Linked DNA regions of Caenorhabditis elegans. The protein of the gene in region 2 purifies or fractionates together with the protein of the main gene of each other region. This does not show direct contact. Each region holds a gene or a part of one and is shown on either strand. Other genes may lie near its edges.

Region 1 (6,416 bases), on a different chromosome or scaffold from region 2:
CAAGGAGATGAAATCTGGAAATGTGTCTCTTATGGCTGACTTACATGCATTGACTTCTGGTTTAAAATCAGTTGTTACTCATCAAACTGGAGAAGGTATCGAACAAGCGAGAATGGCTTGTGGTGGGCATGGATATTCTATGGTAGGAATGTTATAATTGAAATTGCAAATTCTAAAGGAATGTTTCAGGCTAGTTACATCTCTGAAATCTACGGAGTTGCAATTGGAGGATGCACGTATGAAGGAGAAAATATGGTTATGCTTCTTCAACTCGCTCGTTACCTCGTCAAATCCGCTGCCCTTGTGAAGTCCGGAAAAGCTTCTCAGCTTGGACCACTGGTAGCCTACTTGGGCGCCAGAAGTGAGCCAACTAGCCTGATAGATAGAGTTCCAAATGGTGGAATCACGGAATACATCAAGACATTCCAACATATCGCAAAGAGACAGACGTTGAAGGCTGCCAACAAGTTCTTCGGATTAATGGAGAATGGAGAAAAGAGAGAAATCGCCTGGAACAAGTCATCCGTGGAGTTGAATAGGGTATGTTTGACTTATGCTTGTGATTTTTGAGAATACGAGTGATGGTACATTGTGGCCTTGATGTCCATTTGCCCATTTCCTTGCAGAAAATGCAAAACCTGCAAAACTTTAGATGCACTTTTGAGCTTGTTTATCAATATTTGTCAACAATCATTGAATTCTTATCAGTTGTCCCTGCAACCTTACTAGGAAAATTAGTTCAAACACCAAAATGTTGGAAAAGTGCATTTGCTATGTAGCAAAAACTGGTGAAATCTGGTAGAATTTTGTAAATCCGAAACCTTTTTTGGGCTCTATATTAGGGTGCATACTAGATACCAGAGCCGTATTTAAAGTTAAAGATGACTAAAGATTCTGAACACACTAGCTTAAGACATTGTAACAAAAGCGACACTCTTAAAATTAAAAGTCCGAAAAGTATATATTTCTAGGCGAGTCGCCTCCACACCCGCCTCTTCATCGTCGAAGCCTTTGCCAGACGAGTCAACGAAATCGGAGATATCACCATCAAAGAGGCTCTCAGCGATCTCCTCCATCTTCACGTCAACTATGAACTTTTGGATGTTGCCACGTATGCACTGGAAGATGGATTCATGTCATCCACTCAGTTGGATTATGTCAGAGATCAATTGTACTTCTATCTCCAGAAAATTCGACCAAACGCAGTTTCATTGCTAGATTCCTGGGAGTTTAGTGATAGAGAGCTGAGATCTGTAAGTTCCAAAGCTAATGGGTTCTAAAATTAAATAACTGAAATTTCAGGTCCTAGGCCGCCGTGATGGTCATGTCTACGAGAACCTTTTCAAGTGGGCAAAGGAAAGTCCGTTGAACAAGACAGATGTTCTTCCGTCAGTGGATACATATTTGAAGCCAATGATGGAAAAAGCCAGGCAGAGCAAGCTATAATTCTAATTTATATTTTTGATTTTTTTTTCTCTTGCATACTCTTTGCTTATACTGTTAAATATTTGAAAATGCAAACATTGCACTTATAAATAGTACAGGCCAATAATCACAACTCCGCCCATCACTCCTTTTATACCCTTTCCATCAGTTCATCCATCCATTCTTCTTTTTTGTTGATATCAGTAACATGGCGAACCGATCAATTCGTGATGGAGATAACCCCGAATTGCTGGAAGAACGGAGGATGGCAACTTTTGATACGGATAAGATGGCAGCGGTGATCTATGGAAGTGAAGAGGTAAGGACTGCAAACTACAAACTATTGATTACAAGCTTTATTAGGCTAATAGAAAATCAGATTATACATAATTTTAGTATGAATCAAGAGTTATCAAAGCTGAAATTTTATAATGTTTTAAAGCACAATGGAATGTATACATACATGTTCTTGAAAAATATTGTATACCTTAAGTGGAGACCATGTATGTTTCGCACCGTATAACTTAATCAGTTAGAACGACATGTTCCACCACGTGGCATTGAACAATAAAATCCCTGTAATTCCACAAAAATCAATTTTCGTCGTTTTCCCTTTGTCGGAAAAATTTTTTTTATTAGGTAAGATTAGATAGCCACTATTTTTTCTGAGAGATAGAGACCATAAAACGAAATACATATTCTGTCAATCAGCAGGAAAGTGCAAAAGTCAATGTTTCTAGTAGTGTGTAAAGGTTTCAGCAAACCATGAACATACATATGTATCAAGATTTTGGACAGTAAAGAAACAGGGAAATGAACTATCATAGTTTATGAGGGAAATTATCCCCGTCGATGCACCATGTTTCGAATGATTCAAACTTTGGTGCCTCACTTTGGTTGATTGCATTTTTTTTTGAAATAATTAATTGTCAACTTATTAAATGAAAAAAAAACTGTCTTAATACATAGAAAATTATTTGTTCAGTTCGCTCGTCGCCGTCGTGAGATCACCGACGCCGTGTCCAAGATCCCTGAGCTCGCCGACATCAAGCCCTATCCATTTTTGACTCGAGAGGAGAAGGTGACCGAGGGCACCAGAAAAATATCGATTTTGACAAAATATCTGAATCAGCTGATTGATAGAGATAATGAAGAAGAAAGTTTGCACCTGCATCGGTAAGGATTTTCTTTTCAAATTCAGTGTGATTTGGTAGATCTCACTTAATTGTCTCATACGTCGGTTTTATTTAGGTTTATAGAAAATTTGTTAACTGGTACAGTATTGTTTATCTGCTTGCTTGCAACTTTGTTCTGAAGTATATGCTAGCGCCTACCGATTTCCGTCAAGAGCTTCCATGAAAAATTTTGAAAAAATAAACCTCAAATGTTTGCCACTTTTCCTTTAAACTTTTCTCACAATCAGGTAAATTCCCACTTTCCAGAGAAGTGATTGGCTACGAGGGTCATCCCTTCGCTCTCCATGACGCTTTGTTTATTCCAACCCTTCAGTCACAGGCTAGTGATGAACAGCAGGAGAAATGGCTCGAGAGAGCTCGGCGACGAGAGATCATTGGATGTTATGCGCAAACTGAGCTCGGTCACGGCTCAAATCTTAGGAATCTTGAAACAACTGCAGTCTATGACATTGCTTCCCAGGAGTTTGTACTACATACTCCTACGACAACGGCGTTGAAGTGGTGGCCTGGAGCACTTGGGAAGAGCTGTAACTATGCATTGGTTGTAGCTGAACTGATTATAAAGAGAAATAACTATGGCCCCCACTTTTTTATGGTGCAGCTGAGAGATGAAAAAACCCATATTCCACTAAAAGGCGTTACCGTAGGAGATATCGGGCCTAAAATGAACTTCAATGCGGCGGATAATGGGTACCTTGGGTTGAACAACTTGAGAGTTCCACGAACAAATCTTTTGATGAGACATTGCAAAGTAGAGGCGGATGGGACGTATGTGAAGCCACCGCATGCAAAGATCGGGTACTCTGGAATGGTGAAGATCAGAAGTCAGATGGCTATGGAGCAGGGGTTGTTTTTAGCACATGCATTGACAATTGCAGCGAGGTATTCGGCAGTGAGGAGGCAAGGACATTTGGATGATAAGTGAGTTGAACAGTGGTTTTTATTGGACATAAAGTACCACAACTATTCAAATGTTATTTGCTCTATCTAGGAAACGTTTTTTGTCTTCAGATTTATCTTTAACCTACAGGGATCTCTGGAAAATTTGGAGCAAGTTGTGTAATTTTGTAAAAAATTAAAATTGCAATGGTCACTGTCAAAAGGTAGCATAGCATGTAAACGTATTCACCTTTTTTTTCAGATTTTTTCGACAACCAAAAATTCTGAATTCACTTTGAAATTTGAACTAAAATCCGATGCCCAATTAATCGTTAACCTTCAATTCTACCACCCAGAAATTCCAGGCAAGTCGAAGTAAAAGTCCTTGACTACCAGACCCAGCAGCATCGTCTATTCCCATCATTAGCCCGTGCGTATGCATTTATATTCACTGGATTTGAGACAATTCACTTATATTCTCAATTATTAAAAGATGTTGATATGGGTAATACATCTGGAATGGCTGATTTACATGCATTGACTTCTGGTTTAAAATCAGTTGTTGCTCATGAAACTGGAGAAGGTATTGAACAGGCGAGGATGGCTTGTGGTGGACATGGATACTCTATGGTAGGTTTTGAAAATCAAGTAAAAAAGAAAAAGCATTTTATGGAGTTGTTTCAGGCTAGTTATATATCTGTCGTATATGGGATTGCTATTGGCGGATGCACTTATGAAGGGGAGAACATGGTGATGCTCCTGCAACTTGCACGGTATTTAGTGAAATCCGTGGAACTTATCAAGGCCGGTAAAGCTAAGAAATTAGGACCAGTGGCATCATATCTAGCAGACAAGAGTGATGAAACTGATCTAACCAGCCTGAATGGATATGTAAAGATGTTCGAGAACATGGCTAGAAGGCAGGCTTGGAAAGCAACAGAGAAATTCTTGAAATTGATGGAAAGTGGGGAATCAAGAGAAGTGGCATGGAATAAATCAGCAGTGGAGTTGACTAGAGTAAGTTTATCTACAACATTTACCACTATTGAGTTCCAAAAGCTCTGATGTGGTTTTTTTCGTGGTTCAAAAATATACAATAGAAATCTAGATCCAAACTATGTCGTTCAGTTGTTTGCCCAATTTTCGAAGATACACAAAGAAAGGCCTGTAGACATATCATTATTATTATAAGTTATTAAAACTAAAAAATATCCCAATAAAAAAATGCGGTAATTTATATGCCAAGGTCAGTTTTTTTGATTGAACTGGAAGCTTCTGGACCCTAGAAAATTTTTGTAATTAAATTCTGAAAGCCCTTAAAATTTGAAACAAGTCCCCGAAGAAACATTTTCAAAAAAGTTCATTTTAAGGCAATTTTTAAAGTTATGAAAACTACATAAATTCTCCCAAAAAAAATGCGCCTAAAATTTGAAAAAAATCTGGAAAGTGCTAAAATTTTCTGAAAAGATCTGGAAAAGTCTAGAATTTTTTAAAATAAAAGTTGGAAAGTTTTAGAATTTTCTTGAAAGTCCGCAAAACTTCAGGAAATTGTGTAACTGTACAAAAATGTTACATGAGCAATTTAAAATTTATTAGAACAATTTAGCGTTCGCCAGTACGCAAATTGTGCATGCGAACGACTGGTTGTATATAATTTGTATTGCTACTAGGAAATAATATCTGGCAAGCATAGTTATGTAAATTAAAACACACAGTTAACAAAAGTGCAACAGATAGTAACCACCTTATCATTTAAATGCAACCTTCATTGGTTTGAAGAAATGTTTTGGTTTTTGAACCAAATTCTTAAAAAGGGTGTGCAAATACTGATACTTTAAAAAAAATTAGAATGTTGCAATGTATACCCAGAAATATCAATTTTTACACCCAGCAATTTCAGGCTAGCCGTCTACACACCCGTCTATTCATAATCGAAGCTTTTATGAGAAGAGTGTCTCGAATTGAAGATATTCCAGTGAAAGAGGTTCTAACAGATCTTCTCCATCTTCATGTCAACTATGAACTATTGGATGTTGCCACGTATGCACTGGAATTCATGTCATTCACTCAGTTGGATTATGTTAGAGATCAACTATATTTGTATCTGGAGAAGATTCGACCAAATGCAGTATCTCTAGTTGACTCTTTTCAGATTAGTGATATGCAATTGAGATCTGTAAGTATTTTGGGACAATGTAGTTATGAAACACAGAGGTTTTAGGTCCTTGGCCGCCGGGATGGTCACGTCTACGAGAATCTCTTCAAATGGGCAAAGTCAAGTCCCTTGAACAACGCAGATGTTCTACCGTCAGTCGAGAAGTACTTAAAGCCTATGATGGAAAAGGCGAAGCTTTAACTTTTTAATTTTTCTTATATTACTTTTAAAAAATAAATACGTCAACAGACTAAAGAGAGCAACAAATACAAACTATTCAAAATCATCACAGACCAACTGATGTATACATATGTGATAAGAAATTGATAAATATTGGCAACATTTTTCAGAATGCAAACAATTATTGTTGCACTTTAATAATGATGATTTTTTTTCTTAAATTACACTTTTTACAATTTTTTGTATATAACAGTTAGTTAATTGGTTCTTACAGTCCTCATTGAGGATTTTATGGCATTGTTCTAGTTCTACCTGAATTTGGAAAATTTTTCAAATATTCTATCTCATATGTTGTGTTATAAAATCAAATATTATAAAAACGAAACTCCTGCAAATGTAATGTATTCCTTTAAGTTTTCCGATTTTCAGACTGTACAATGAGCTCAATTTGCAAAGGAGATAACTCAGATCTCACAGAAGAACGAAAGAATGCGACTTTTGATACGGATAAGATGGCTGCCGTGATATATGGACGTGAAGAGGTAAGGGGGGCAAATAGACTACAAATTACAGGCAGCAAA
Region 2 (4,899 bases):
TTTGGGTGGCTGTTTGGAGGAAATTCAAAATGGAATGGTCAAAGAGTTCACGAAAGTTCATCCGGATTTCGGAAATGCTCTTCGCCATCAGCTCTGCCAGAAGAAGCATTAAATTGTTTGATATTCAAACTTTTGTATATAGAATCTCGTTATTTATAAACTCTTTTTTTTGTATTTCTTCTGGTTTTTGATGATAAGAAATTTTATGTGCACATAAATCAAAAAAGCCGGAAATTAAATAGCGTTTTATCAGGCAGAAAATTGGCCACGTGACGTCATCATTTTCCTGTTTGAAGAAAATCTGGAAAATTTTTTGTTTCAGTCAATTTTTAAAGATGAAAACTTAAGTTAGACTGTAAAAGCAATTTTCGCGCCAAAATTACGGTATCGGGTCTCGAAACGACAGTTTTTTATCTATTGCGAAAATATGTGCGCCTTTAAAGAGTACTGTAGTTGCAAACTTTTGTCGCTGTGGAGTTTTTATCGATTTTTTATATTTTTTCGATGAAAACAACTCAAATATAACAATAAAAACACAAAATTAAAAAAAAAATCGATAAAAAATCCGCGTCAACGAAAGTTTAAAGTTACAGTATTTGTCGTTTCGAGACCGGGTACCGTAGTTTTTGGTGAAAACATTGCAAAATTTGGTCAACAATTTCATCGCTGCGAGACCGACACAACACTTTATTTTATTTTTGGGTTTCCCTTATCGCTTATCATAAACATGTGACGTCATCATCTCTTGTACAGAGCACCGCGACTGGGAGTATAAGAATCGCCGGAAAACATCAATAATCAGTTCGGTAGAAGTGAAAATTGAGCGTAAAATATGATCATTTTTCGATGCACCATATTTGACGCGCAATACTTCTACAAGCCGCTGTGTACTGCTCGTGGACAACTTTGGATTATTTTTTGTTTTTAAAATTCAAAATAGTCAATATATTGCTTATTTATAGCGCGCCTTTTTGACAGTAAGTTTGTCAAATTTGCGCGTAAGTTATGGTGTTTGCACATATGCACCATACAGCAACACCCCGCGGCCCGGCTAGTGGTACATCCATGCAAATGCGCTCTACTGATAATTTGAGTTTAACCAGGTTTAGGCGCAAGATAAGAAAAAAGCTTTGGACCAAAAAATTTAGAGTTTATTTTTTTCGGACATTTTTTATATACATCACAAAAATATTGGGCCACTCGTTTTTGATAAAAACGACAAGCCCAAAAGTTCAGGTATACGGTAGACAAATTGCGTACAGGTACCACTTTTCCACGTAGTGCCAGGTTGTCCCATTACGCTTTGATCTATGAAAAATGCGGGAATTTTTCGTCCAGAAAAATGTGACGTCAGCACGTTCTCAACCATGCGAAATCAGTTGAAAACTCTGCGTCTATTCTCCCGCATTTTTTGTAGATCTGTAGATTTGTAGATCAATCCATTCCCCGTATACCCTGACCCATAATCAATACCTACCTAATTTTTGTCTTTCCCCCTACTTTTTTGCCTGTCCAAAATAAGCGAGACTATGCCGTAGTCTGGTGTCCAACAACATGTTCCTTATCAGTGATAACGCTACAATCTTCTTTCTTTTTTCTCTGTTTCTCTTGTCTCTCCCAACCCATATTCCGTATTACACCTCGTCGTGGTCATTTTTTTGTTCAGAGTTTTATTTAATTCTAAATTTCCTAACTAAAATTTCAGAACCAAAATGCCAAACGATCCATCGGATAATCAACTGAAAACCTACAAGGAGACGTATCCAGTGAGTTTAGAGTTTAAAGGCACAGACGCATTTTCTACAACAACAACTACTATTTACAGTAACTTGTTTCAGAAACCCCAAGTGATCACAACTTCAAATGGAGCTCCGATCTACTCGAAGACCGCCGTGCTCACCGCCGGGCGGCGTGGCCCAATGCTCATGCAAGATGTAGTTTATATGGATGAGATGGCTCATTTCGATCGTGAACGTATCCCCGAGCGTGTCGTTCATGCCAAGGGAGCCGGAGCCCATGGATACTTCGAGGTCACCCATGACATCACCAAGTACTGTAAGGCCGATATGTTCAACAAGGTCGGAAAACAGACACCACTTCTCGTTCGTTTTTCAACGGTCGCTGGAGAATCGGGATCCGCTGATACTGTCCGCGATCCACGTGGATTCTCTCTCAAATTCTATACCGAGGAGGGTAACTGGGATCTGGTTGGAAATAACACTCCGATCTTCTTCATTCGTGACGCAATCCACTTTCCGAATTTCATTCATGCCCTGAAGCGCAATCCACAGACTCACATGAGGGATCCGAATGCGCTCTTCGATTTCTGGATGAATCGCCCTGAATCCATTCATCAGGTGATGTTCCTCTACTCGGATCGTGGAATTCCTGATGGATTCCGTTTTATGAATGGATACGGAGCGCATACTTTCAAGATGGTCAACAAGGAGGGAAATCCGATTTATTGTAAATTCCATTTCAAGGTAAGCCTAAGAGAGACGGGGACTAGAATTAAATTTTCATTTTCTATTTTTCAGCCTGCTCAAGGTTCCAAGAATCTCGATCCAACTGACGCTGGAAAGCTCGCCTCTTCGGATCCAGACTATGCGATCCGCGACCTGTTCAATGCCATTGAGTCAAGAAATTTCCCGGAATGGAAGATGTTCATTCAAGTGATGACATTCGAACAAGCTGAGAAATGGGAGTTCAATCCATTTGATGTCACTAAAGTTTGGCCACACGGTGATTACCCACTGATCGAGGTCGGCAAGATGGTGCTGAACAGGAATGTGAAGAATTATTTCGCTGAGGCAAGTGGTGTGAAGATGAATTAGTTTTTTTTAATATTAGGTCTCCAAATAAGTTCCGGGTCAAAAATCATAACTTTGTTCGCTGTGTATCGATTTTTATGAAACTGTAGGAATTTACGTTATCAACTATGATCTTTCATTTGACAATAGTCACAAAATTTTTTGGCCGTCCGAAGTGCCCTAACTCGGAGCCAATTTTTTCAGGCATTTTTCAGATCTCGCTTCTTTTCAGGTTTCAATTGAGGTTTGTGTGCGGATTTTGCTTAGTTTAGTACACAATGTAAGAAAACAAAAAGTTTGGAAAAAATCCGTCCAAAAAAATTTTTTTTGTCGGTCGTCAAAAAATCTTCAAAAAATTTTTTTTTCGAAAATTCTCGATTTTTTATACAAAAATGATGTAACCATGTGCAAACTATTTTTACACATACAAAACATTTCAATTTATTGCGTCACACTAAAACAATAACAGAAAACACAGCTTTTTCGAAAAATTTTCGAGTTCTTGGAGTATTTCTCGAGATCCAAATTTCATACTCAAATGTTTTGTATGTGTAAAAATAGTTTGCACATGGTTACATCATTCTTGTATAAAAAATCGAGAATTTTCGAAAAAAAATTTTTTTGAAGATTTTTTGACGACCGACAAAAAAAATTTTTTTGGACGGATTTTTTCCAAACTTTTTTTGTTTTCTTACATTGTGTACTAAACTAAGCAAAATCCGCACACAAACCTCAATTGAAACCTGAAAAGAAGCGAGATCTGAAAAATGCCTGAAAAAAATGGCTCCGAGTTAGGGCGCTCCGGGTGGTCAAAAAATTTTGTGACCATTTCAAAATGAAAGGTCATAGTTGATAACATAAATTCCCAAAGTTTCAAAAAAATCTATAAAAGGCAAAAAAAGTTCTGATTTTTGACCCGGAACTTATTTGGAGACCTAATAGGAACAATAAAAATTGCATTTTACGTCTAGCTTTAAAGGTGGAGTAAAAATATTTTTTATTTTGGTTTTCAGGTCGAACAAGCCGCCTTCTGCCCGGCCCACATCGTCCCAGGAATCGAGTTCTCGCCAGACAAGATGCTCCAAGGGCGTATCTTCTCCTACACGGACACGCATTACCATCGCCTTGGACCAAACTACATTCAGCTTCCAGTCAACTGCCCGTACCGCTCCCGTGCTCATACCACTCAACGCGATGGTGCAATGGCTTATGAAAGCCAGGGAGATGCGCCGAATTACTTCCCGAACAGTTTCCGCGGATACCGTACTCGTGATGATGTGAAGGAGTCGACATTTCAGACGACTGGAGATGTTGATCGTTATGAGACTGGAGACGATCACAACTACGAGCAGCCACGTCAGTTCTGGGAGAAAGTGCTCAAGGAGGAGGAGAGAGATCGGCTCGTTGGGAATTTGGCTAGTGATTTGGGTGGCTGTTTGGAGGAAATTCAAAATGGAATGGTCAAAGAGTTCACGAAAGTTCATCCGGATTTCGGAAATGCTCTTCGCCATCAGCTCTGCCAGAAGAAGCATTAAATTGTTTGATATTCAAACTTTTGTATATAGAATCTCGTTATTTATAAACTCTTTTTTTTGTATTTCTTCTGGTTTTTGATGATAAGAAATTTTATGTGCACATAAATCAAAAAAGCCGGAAATTAAATAGCGTTTTATCAGGCAGAAAATTGGCCACGTGACGTCATCATTTTCCTGTTTGAAGAAAATCTGGAAAATTTTTTGTTTCAGTCAATTTTTAAAGATGAAAACTTAAGTTAGACTGTAAAAGCAATTTTCGCGCCAAAATTACGGTATCGGGTCTCGAAACGACAGTTTTTTATCTATTGCGAAAATATGTGCGCCTTTAAAGAGTACTGTAGTTGCAAACTTTTGTCGCTGTGGAGTTTTTATCGATTTTTTATATTTTTTCGATGAAAACAACTCAAATATAACAATAAAAACACAAAATTAAAAAAAAAATCGATAAAAAATCCGCGTCAACGAAAGTTTAAAGTTACAGTATTTGTCGTTTCGAGACCGGGTACCGTAGTTTTTGGTGAAAACATTGCAAAATTTGGTCAACAATTTCATCG
Region 3 (7,877 bases), on a different chromosome or scaffold from region 2:
CTCTTTGGGTCAATACCCACTCGTTGTCCAGTGTCTCTCGTATCCCCATGGAGATACATGTTGTTGTTCGGTTATTTAAATTGAAGGATAAGGGGTCTGGATTAGAGAAGAAGGGGGAAACGCAGTGATTATGAGATCTACTTCAAAGTTTACTTCGGAATATGATTTAGGATTGTGGGTTATTTCAAGCTGTTTTTAACTGATTTTTGAAAAAAAGTTAGGGATATTCACGGGTAAACAACAAGACAGTTTGGAAATTACTTTAAGGAAACAATTTTTTTCAAAAAAAAACCCCGAAAACTATTCAGAATACTGGCATATTCATAATAGTTTAAACAATTTCAAAAAAAAAAAAAAAAAAATATATATATATATATAATCGGGTTTTTCTTTGTAGCTCACCAATGTACCTCTCGAGTTGTTTTTAATAGTTTAAAGTTTTATTACACCGCACGAATCGAAAGTGAACAAAATTATTATAAAACAGTCAAAAATGAAGTAGAAATACAAATCAAAACAAAATTAAAGTTTGCTTGTCATTGGCTTCAAATACTTTTCAACATGAGGAAGATTTCTCTCATTGAGTGGGCTCATTTGAGCCCATTTGTACAGATTCTCATATACATGTCCATCACGGCGACCGAGTACCTGAAAATAATATTTTTGTCCCATTAGAATTCGGAATTCGGCAAAACTCACTGAACGAAGCTCTCGATCACAAATATCAAATGAGTCGACAATTGAAACAGCATTGCGGCGAGTTTTTCTCATTGAATCGTAGATTTGATGTCGAATTTGTTGGACATCCGATTCGGAAAGATATCCATTAGCTGTCAAATCAGCCGACATTTCAATAAGTTCATAAGAGAGATAGAGTTCAGCAAGTGTTGTAAGTACATCATGAACTGCTTCATCACTAACTTCCTGCACACTTTTCACGAAACCACGGGCGATAAACAACTTTGTATGAGCACGAGCAGCCTGAAATGGAATTTTGTTTAATTGAAAATGTTGTGAGTTTTGGAATTGATTGAATGGGGATCTTTTGTTATGCCCATTTTGGAATCACCACGAAAAACTGAACTAGCAATCGATTCCCTCCGCTCACTTTCGAACCAATCAGCGTCTTCGAACTTCGCAAATAGCTAATTGATCACCTTTTGGAGGAATTTCGAATAAAGATTCTTCGCCAACATCAGAAAAGTGTCATTTTTTATTTTGTTTCGTTTTTGAAATCCTGACTATTTAAAATATCCCCGGTGCTCAAAGGTTTATATCAGAATGTTACAAAATCTTGCATGAGCTATAAAAAACCTCATATTTGTAATCATCGAGTATAACTTTTACTCCCACGAAAATCATAAATTCTTGGCCTCAATTTTCTTTCCAGGTATACCCAGAGTTCTCACACTTTATCAAAAATAATACAAACCTTAGTCCAGTCAACTGAATGATTTGCAAAAGCATAATCTCTCTCGATTCCCTGTTTCTCTTCTTCAATCATTTGACGATAAGCATGCATTACACGATGACGTGCAATGTGCTCGAAGTGGCTGAGCATCTTTGCGAACTTATCTGGAATCATATAATGACAAAACACTTTTCATATTCATAACGAGGGTGTATGTTCTTTGATTTTTCAGTATTTAAGTTAGGTAAGAGAAACCCGAAAATTTGAAAATAAAAAACAAGGCGGCGAGTCGGAAAACGTTGAAATTTTGAAAATTATTATCCAATTGAACAAAAAATTATTGCAAACTTCAAAAAAGTATAAAAACCTTTGAACTTTTGTTTGTGAAAAAATTGGGAAATGTTCCAAATTTAAAAAAATTTCAGGTGACTTGTACATTTCTGTTTCCAGTTGTATTTCAAGAAAATCTTTAAAAATAAAATCTGTATCTTTTTCCCCAACACAAACCATTAGTCTCGGTAATGTCCGGTTTTACAAGATATGCAACCAATGGTGCCATTTCTTCTCCCTTTTCGGCTTTTGCCGCCGCTTTCATTAGGTACTTGGACAGCTGCAGTAGCATTACCATGTTTTCTCCTTCATATGTGCATGCACCAACCGAGCAAGCTGCAAAACCATTTTAATTGCACGTTTTGACATTTTACTCACTAATTAGATGTTTGACATATAGGATACAACGCCCACGAGTTTCTATAGACATAGAGAATAGTCAGAATATGTACAACTGTCTACGTAAGCTGATTAGATGTATATTTAGAAAATATGTCAAAATAATGTGGCTTTCTGATATGAAGACTTAGGAAAGTACGGGAAAAATTAAATTAAAAGTAACCAACCAAAAAAAGAAATATTGAAAATATCAAAAATTGATTTTTGGTCCAAAAAAAACAACTGTTTTCAAAAATTAATTGTTTTCGGTGAAACTCGAATTGGTTTAGGTGTTTAAAAAATCATTTTTATCAAAAGTTTTGACAATTTGCAAAATTGTCGAGAAGTTGTGTTTCTGTCAAAAAATTGACACCTAAAATTAAGCAGCAACTAACTATACAAAGTCGGTAAATAACTGGCATCCGAATATCCATGTCCACCACATGCTTGTCTTGCTTGATCAATTGATTGAGATGCTTGATGAGTTACAACTGCCTTGAGTCCACAGGAAAGAGCATGCAAATCAGCAAGAACATCAGAGTTTCCATGTGAAAGTTGTTTAATACAGTTTTCAGTCATTTGACGAACAGTTGCAGCTGCCGTGTTAAAAGCAAAACAACGAGCAAGTCCCGGGAAAATACGATACTGTTGAGTTTGATAATCGAGAATTTGAACTTCTTGTGTTCCTGGCTTAATCTCTCCTTGTCTACGAACAGCTGAATATCGAATTGAAATAGCCATTGCCATTGCAAGATAATATGCTTGATGATAAATCATTTCAGATCTCATATATAACATTGTAGTATATCCGACTTTTGGATGAGATGGAGCCGTGTAGAGCCCTTCTTTTGATACTTTACTGTGCTTCATAAGCATATTGCGTCTTGGAATACGGTAGTTGTCAAAGGCCAAAAATCCGTTATCGACACAGTTCACTCCCATTTTAGTTCCAATATCTCCAACACGTACTCCAGACATTACAGAATAGGAATTACGGTCACGAATTGGGACGAAGAATGGATGAAGCCCATAGTTTTTGGTGTCAATAATCAAGTTTGCAACAAGGACGACATGTGTACAACTGGTTCCAAGACCTCCAGGCCACCTGAAAAAATATATCTTTTAAATCGGCATTGCTTTGATTTTGTTAAAGAAAAAGCGACAATAATTTTGTAGTCGCCCAAAAAAATCTTTCTTCAAGTTGTATATTTGTATTATGTCTTAATTATTTATACTAGAACATTGCAAATTTTTTGGAGTTGAAGAGTTTTCAAAAATATGTTGAAACTTCTTTGTTTGGAAACTACGAAACATTTACACTTTTTTTTGTAATATTTTTCATAGTCTACAGTAAACTAAAATATTCAACAAATTCTTGATAATAAATACTTCTACGATATCAACTACCTACCATTTTGTGGCCGTTGTAGTTGGCGTATGAATGATAAATTCTTCCGTTAGCTTATCGTAAGTGGCTGTAGTTTCGATGGCTCCGAGATTGGTTCCTGTAAACTTTTGATGACATTGCAATTCCTATTTAGCGTACTATGAACTTTTGATTTTAAATATAGCTGTAAAAAATTGAGTTTTCAAAATTTCTAATTTCAAACTAGGTTCTGAAAAAGATAGTTTGCATTTCAAATTTTCTGGTACTTTGGTGTAGGTTCCCAAGTTTGACCCAAATCTTGCCAAACTTTCTTCCAAAATTTCTTGTATCATAAATCTAATATAAACAGCATCATAGATGAAGTTTTGCCAAAGTCCTGCCCAACGCTTGTTACCAAATTTTTGCCAAATTTTAGGCAAAAAGTTGGCGCGAAATGCCGAGGATGTAGGTACAAAAAACTAGACACCAAGCGATTGGTTAAAAAATATTTTTAAAATATTTACATTTGAACCCTGATTTGCTTGGCAATCATGATTACTTCGGAATTAGTTACTTGATTCTACCCGCTTAAAATAATAAAAAATATATACAAATTATTTTCCACTTTCAACTTTCCCACTCCATTTCCTAAATATGTCTTATCAAAATAATCATTAATCATTCAACAAATTCTAGCCATATTTCACGTGTCACAGATTACTTGCGAAACATGCATTTTCGGTGATAAAATGTTGCAATACCCTTTTCCGGAGGGGGAGACCCCCGGTTCTTATCAGTAATTTATAAGCAGGTGTTCTGCAGAAACTCTTCTTTGAACAGTGTAGCATGATCGAACGGATTACTTCACTTACCGTGTCCGAGTTCCGTTTGGGCATAAGTTCCAATGATCTTGCCCTGAAGTGCATCCATCAGCCACCACTCCTGAAAGTGCAATTGATTAATAGTTTAATTCGATAAATGATGGGTTTTTCAATACTTTAAAGTATGTTTCAAAGCTTTTTCAAACATTTTCCAAAGTCATTTAACATACAGTTTGCTCATCGTCGGCTTGATTTTGAATAGTTGGCACAAACATCAAGTTATGAAGAGCCAATGGAAATCCTTCAATGCCCATTACATCTCGAATGATAACCAACATATCGAGATTATTGGTGAAATCAGCAAACTCGCCCACAGATTCCATGAGGTTTTTCAGCTGAAATTTTAAGAACTAGACTATTGTTTAAAAATTCGGTGGAGATGCGCTTGTCAATGAAAAATTTTTTGATGACGTATTAAGAATTATAGAATTGCCAAAAATAGTTGAAAGACTCAACTATGTAAACATGAAGTACATATAACAATAGATTTTTTGGTGCTCTTAATAATAATTTGAGAATATCGAAAAAGCGTTTCTTCATTCAAAAATAGCTGGTTTTCCAGCCGAAGCAATTAGAAAATCGCTCAAAATTGCCAGACGATTGGAAATTTCTTACAAGTTATCAAACAAATTTTCCAACAATTTTAAATTTTTAGACAATTTTTGAGCGTTTTTCCATTTGTTTCATCTAAAATTTAAGCTATTATCAAATAAAGAAAACATTTTCTATATTCTTTCTACATTTAACTTGGCAATTGCCGTCGGCTTAAAATAAAGTGCCAATTTCTAACCTTCCTGCTGACATCCTCCATTCTCTCGGCTCTTGTCCTATGAGCACCTGGAAGAGCATCAAATAAATGCCACCGCTTGGTTACTTCATCTCTCAATTCTCGAATTCTTTTCAGTGCATCTTCTCCTCCATGGAACACGGCGGCAAGAGCATCAGTATCGAATGTTCTACAAATATCTCAAACTTTAATTAGTGACGTTTAGTTATGTACTATCAAATTTGATATTGTTTAAGCCATCCACGTCATTTTCATTGAATTAATCGTAAATAAACTTGACGACTGATAAAATTGAAAAATAAAAAAGTTATTACCATTGAAATGACGAGTTCTAATTTTTTGAACCAGGTTTGCTAAAATAAATAGGAAAAACCATAATTTGCAGAGTAAAGAATGATATGGTTAATTACCGAATTGAGAAAAAAACAAAAGTGGTGAAACTTCGAATTGGAAATTATGGGAATTTCCTCGAAACTGCGAGCAAAAAGGCAAAGTGGCAAGTGCAGCTTGGCACTCATCCTTTGAGACAGTTTTTGAGCAACGTCTCTAAGCTTCAACTCTCATAAAATTAGATTTCAGAAAGTTAAAATATTTTGCTACATTTCTACATAAATATTCAATAAAAATTTTGGCTCAACAATAAGAAAAGGAGATTTATGGAGCCTCGAAAATCTCAGGTTGAAATGATGACATTATGAAATTTAAAATTTAATAGTAACATTAGGAATTATTTTCAGCAAATATAATCCCTTTAAGGATATTTTTTAAAAGTTACGCTTTAAATCTTTCATCAGTCAAATCTTGATTGTCTCCATCTTGAATCAACTTATTCAGCGGCATCTCTTTTTTCTGTAACACGAATAAACTGATTAGTGTGTTTCAAACTGGAAAGTGAATGAAGACAAAAAGAAGATAGCGATAAATCATGCTCTCTTCTATCAGTATTTATAGAGCGGAAAACCCATCGAGAGAATTGGAAAACCCGGAGATGAACAGAGCACAATGAGAATGGAAGGAGGTGACGTAGTTGGGTATAGAGAGTTGGAAACAGCATTAGAGATGAGAAGAACATGGGAATAGGAAACATGAAAAATGTGGTCAAAGATTAAAAAATTAGACGTCCATGAAATACAGTTTATTCCTATTTGCACACTACATCGTGTTGCGTTATTTTTGAATGACTGATTTTTAATAATTTCTTGAACTGTAGTCCCTGAAATTTTTATAAAATAAAACAATTGGAGCTCTGAAAAATTCCAACCTGTTAAACTATGGTAGATAGTATTATATATCTACTCTAATTTTCTTTCTTTGAAATTTTATGGGTGACAACTGCCGCTCGGCTTAATTATTTTCGACAAATTCAAATTGCCAAAAATTTCCAATTTCCGAAAATATTGAAAAAGAATTTTCATAACAAAAAACACTTACAACTCTATTTTTATAAATATATTTTATCAAATTTCCTTACTTTTTTTCGGTTCTCCTAGGACCGGTAATTTCTAGAAATATGAGGCGTTGCATTTGTAGTTTGAAGATTAAAATTTTAAAAATTTTGAAATTTCCAAAATATTTCAAAACTAGAATTTACCGAAAATGCTCAATTTTGTCCGTACTTTGTAATTTGTGTTGTACTCTAACCCGCATTGAGCAGGATTAATTTAAAATTTCCATCGACAAGTGTACTATATTGAAAAAAATTGATATATATGTTTTTCTTACTATATATTTTTATTTTCTGCTTCCTCATTAATATTTCTATTTCTTAATCAATTTCAGTTAGTAAAGATTTATTCAAATTAATGAAGCATACTGGGTGCAGCAATAAGAGTAATACAAATGGCGATAAAGAATCCAGAAAGTACAAGGGACACCCAAAAAGAAACAGTATAAAATCGTGATGGTTTGGATCCACGGAATAAAATGAATGTGAACAGAATTCCGGCGACAAGGCCTCCAAGATGACCATACATTGACACCTGGAAAAATTAAACGATGACACGGAATCTTTTCAGATTTATAAATATATATATATATATAAACCCCTAATTAGGGGTTTTTTTTTTTGGAAAATTGACATTTGGTGGCTTTGCTCTAAAATATGAACCTAATTTGGAAGTTGGCTGGGCATGGCTTAAATGAATTCAAATTTTGCCTTACAAAGGTACCTTCTATTGTTAAGCACCTAACAAATGTTTACTCTAAGAAGCTTAAAGAATTGATACTTCCTATTATTCCGTCTCTTCTTCTGCCTTATCTATGAATCACTCCAAAAGTTGCAAACAAAAATTCTTATAATTCTCAAATCGAAACTTTTTGCGAAATACGTGAGTTCTAGAACTAATTCCCCATAGTGTAGTACCCCGGAATTCGGAACAAGCTTTGTTCCGTTTTCTGCGTTTTTCGGATTTATCATTTCCTTTTCGAGTATGACATTGATTTATCTATTCAGTTTTGTGAGAACATTTTGTTATCAAAGTTTTCTATTTTCAAAAGATGAACTATGCATCATACTCACCATCACTTTACTTTGAAAGGTTATATCTCTGTTCATTTCGAAGTTATCAATAAATAATCAACTACAAATCGATAGAAAAAGAAATAATAAATATGTTGTCAGTTGACAGTTTTTGTATAAAACAAACGACAACTGAGATATGAGCTGTCAAAGTTGAACAATTAAATGCAACACTAATTATTGTAATTCTAACTTTAAATTTACGA

Evidence for each region. Proteins that work in one complex are often made in the same cells at the same time.
Region 1: the proteins of ctl-1 (region 2) and acox-1.2 fractionate together in Caenorhabditis elegans (co-fractionation; one large-scale study listed by BioGRID). This does not show direct contact.
Region 3: the proteins of ctl-1 (region 2) and acox-1.5 fractionate together in Caenorhabditis elegans (co-fractionation; one large-scale study listed by BioGRID). This does not show direct contact.

What each region holds. Positions count from the first base shown.
Region 1 is NC_003279.8:12,940,675-12,947,090, forward strand, and holds acox-1.2 (Acyl-coenzyme A oxidase acox-1.2), read left to right. Parts: upstream 1-1,605; 5' UTR 1,606-1,633; coding exon 1,634-1,744; intron 1,745-2,410; coding exon 2,411-2,601; intron 2,602-2,867; coding exon 2,868-3,542; intron 3,543-3,865; coding exon 3,866-4,130; intron 4,131-4,184; coding exon 4,185-4,517; intron 4,518-5,400; coding exon 5,401-5,676; intron 5,677-5,721; coding exon 5,722-5,856; 3' UTR 5,857-5,914; downstream 5,915-6,416. Other genes in the region: Acyl-coenzyme A oxidase acox-1.1, read left to right, coding at 1-142, 190-540, 972-1,253, 1,303-1,446; Acyl-coenzyme A oxidase acox-1.3, read left to right, coding at 6,273-6,377. UniProt on the Caenorhabditis elegans protein: Involved in the first step of peroxisomal beta-oxidation by catalyzing the desaturation of fatty acid-derived side chains of ascaroside pheromones, which regulates development and behavior.
Region 2 is NC_003280.10:14,303,067-14,307,965, reverse strand, and holds ctl-1 (Catalase-2), read left to right. Parts: upstream 1-1,705; 5' UTR 1,706-1,712; coding exon 1,713-1,766; intron 1,767-1,838; coding exon 1,839-2,483; intron 2,484-2,537; coding exon 2,538-2,810; intron 2,811-3,823; coding exon 3,824-4,345; 3' UTR 4,346-4,398; downstream 4,399-4,899. Other genes in the region: ctl-3 (Catalase), read left to right, coding at 1-112. UniProt on the Caenorhabditis elegans protein: Catalase involved in the oxidative stress response serving to protect cells from toxicity. For instance plays a role in defending against oxidative damage induced by excessive copper stress. Not required for maintaining normal lifespan.
Region 3 is NC_003281.10:9,586,191-9,594,067, forward strand, and holds acox-1.5 (putative acyl-coenzyme A oxidase acox-1.5), read right to left. Parts: upstream 6,003-7,877; 5' UTR 5,994-6,002; coding exon 5,929-5,993; intron 5,323-5,928; coding exon 5,157-5,322; intron 4,702-5,156; coding exon 4,537-4,701; intron 4,428-4,536; coding exon 4,358-4,427; intron 3,625-4,357; coding exon 3,531-3,624; intron 3,225-3,530; coding exon 2,515-3,224; intron 2,078-2,514; coding exon 1,919-2,077; intron 1,576-1,918; coding exon 1,433-1,575; intron 982-1,432; coding exon 700-981; intron 649-699; coding exon 523-648; 3' UTR 422-522; downstream 1-421. Other genes in the region: rom-2 (Inactive rhomboid-related protein 2), read right to left, coding at 6,953-7,132. UniProt on the Caenorhabditis elegans protein: Involved in the first step of peroxisomal beta-oxidation by catalyzing the desaturation of fatty acid-derived side chains.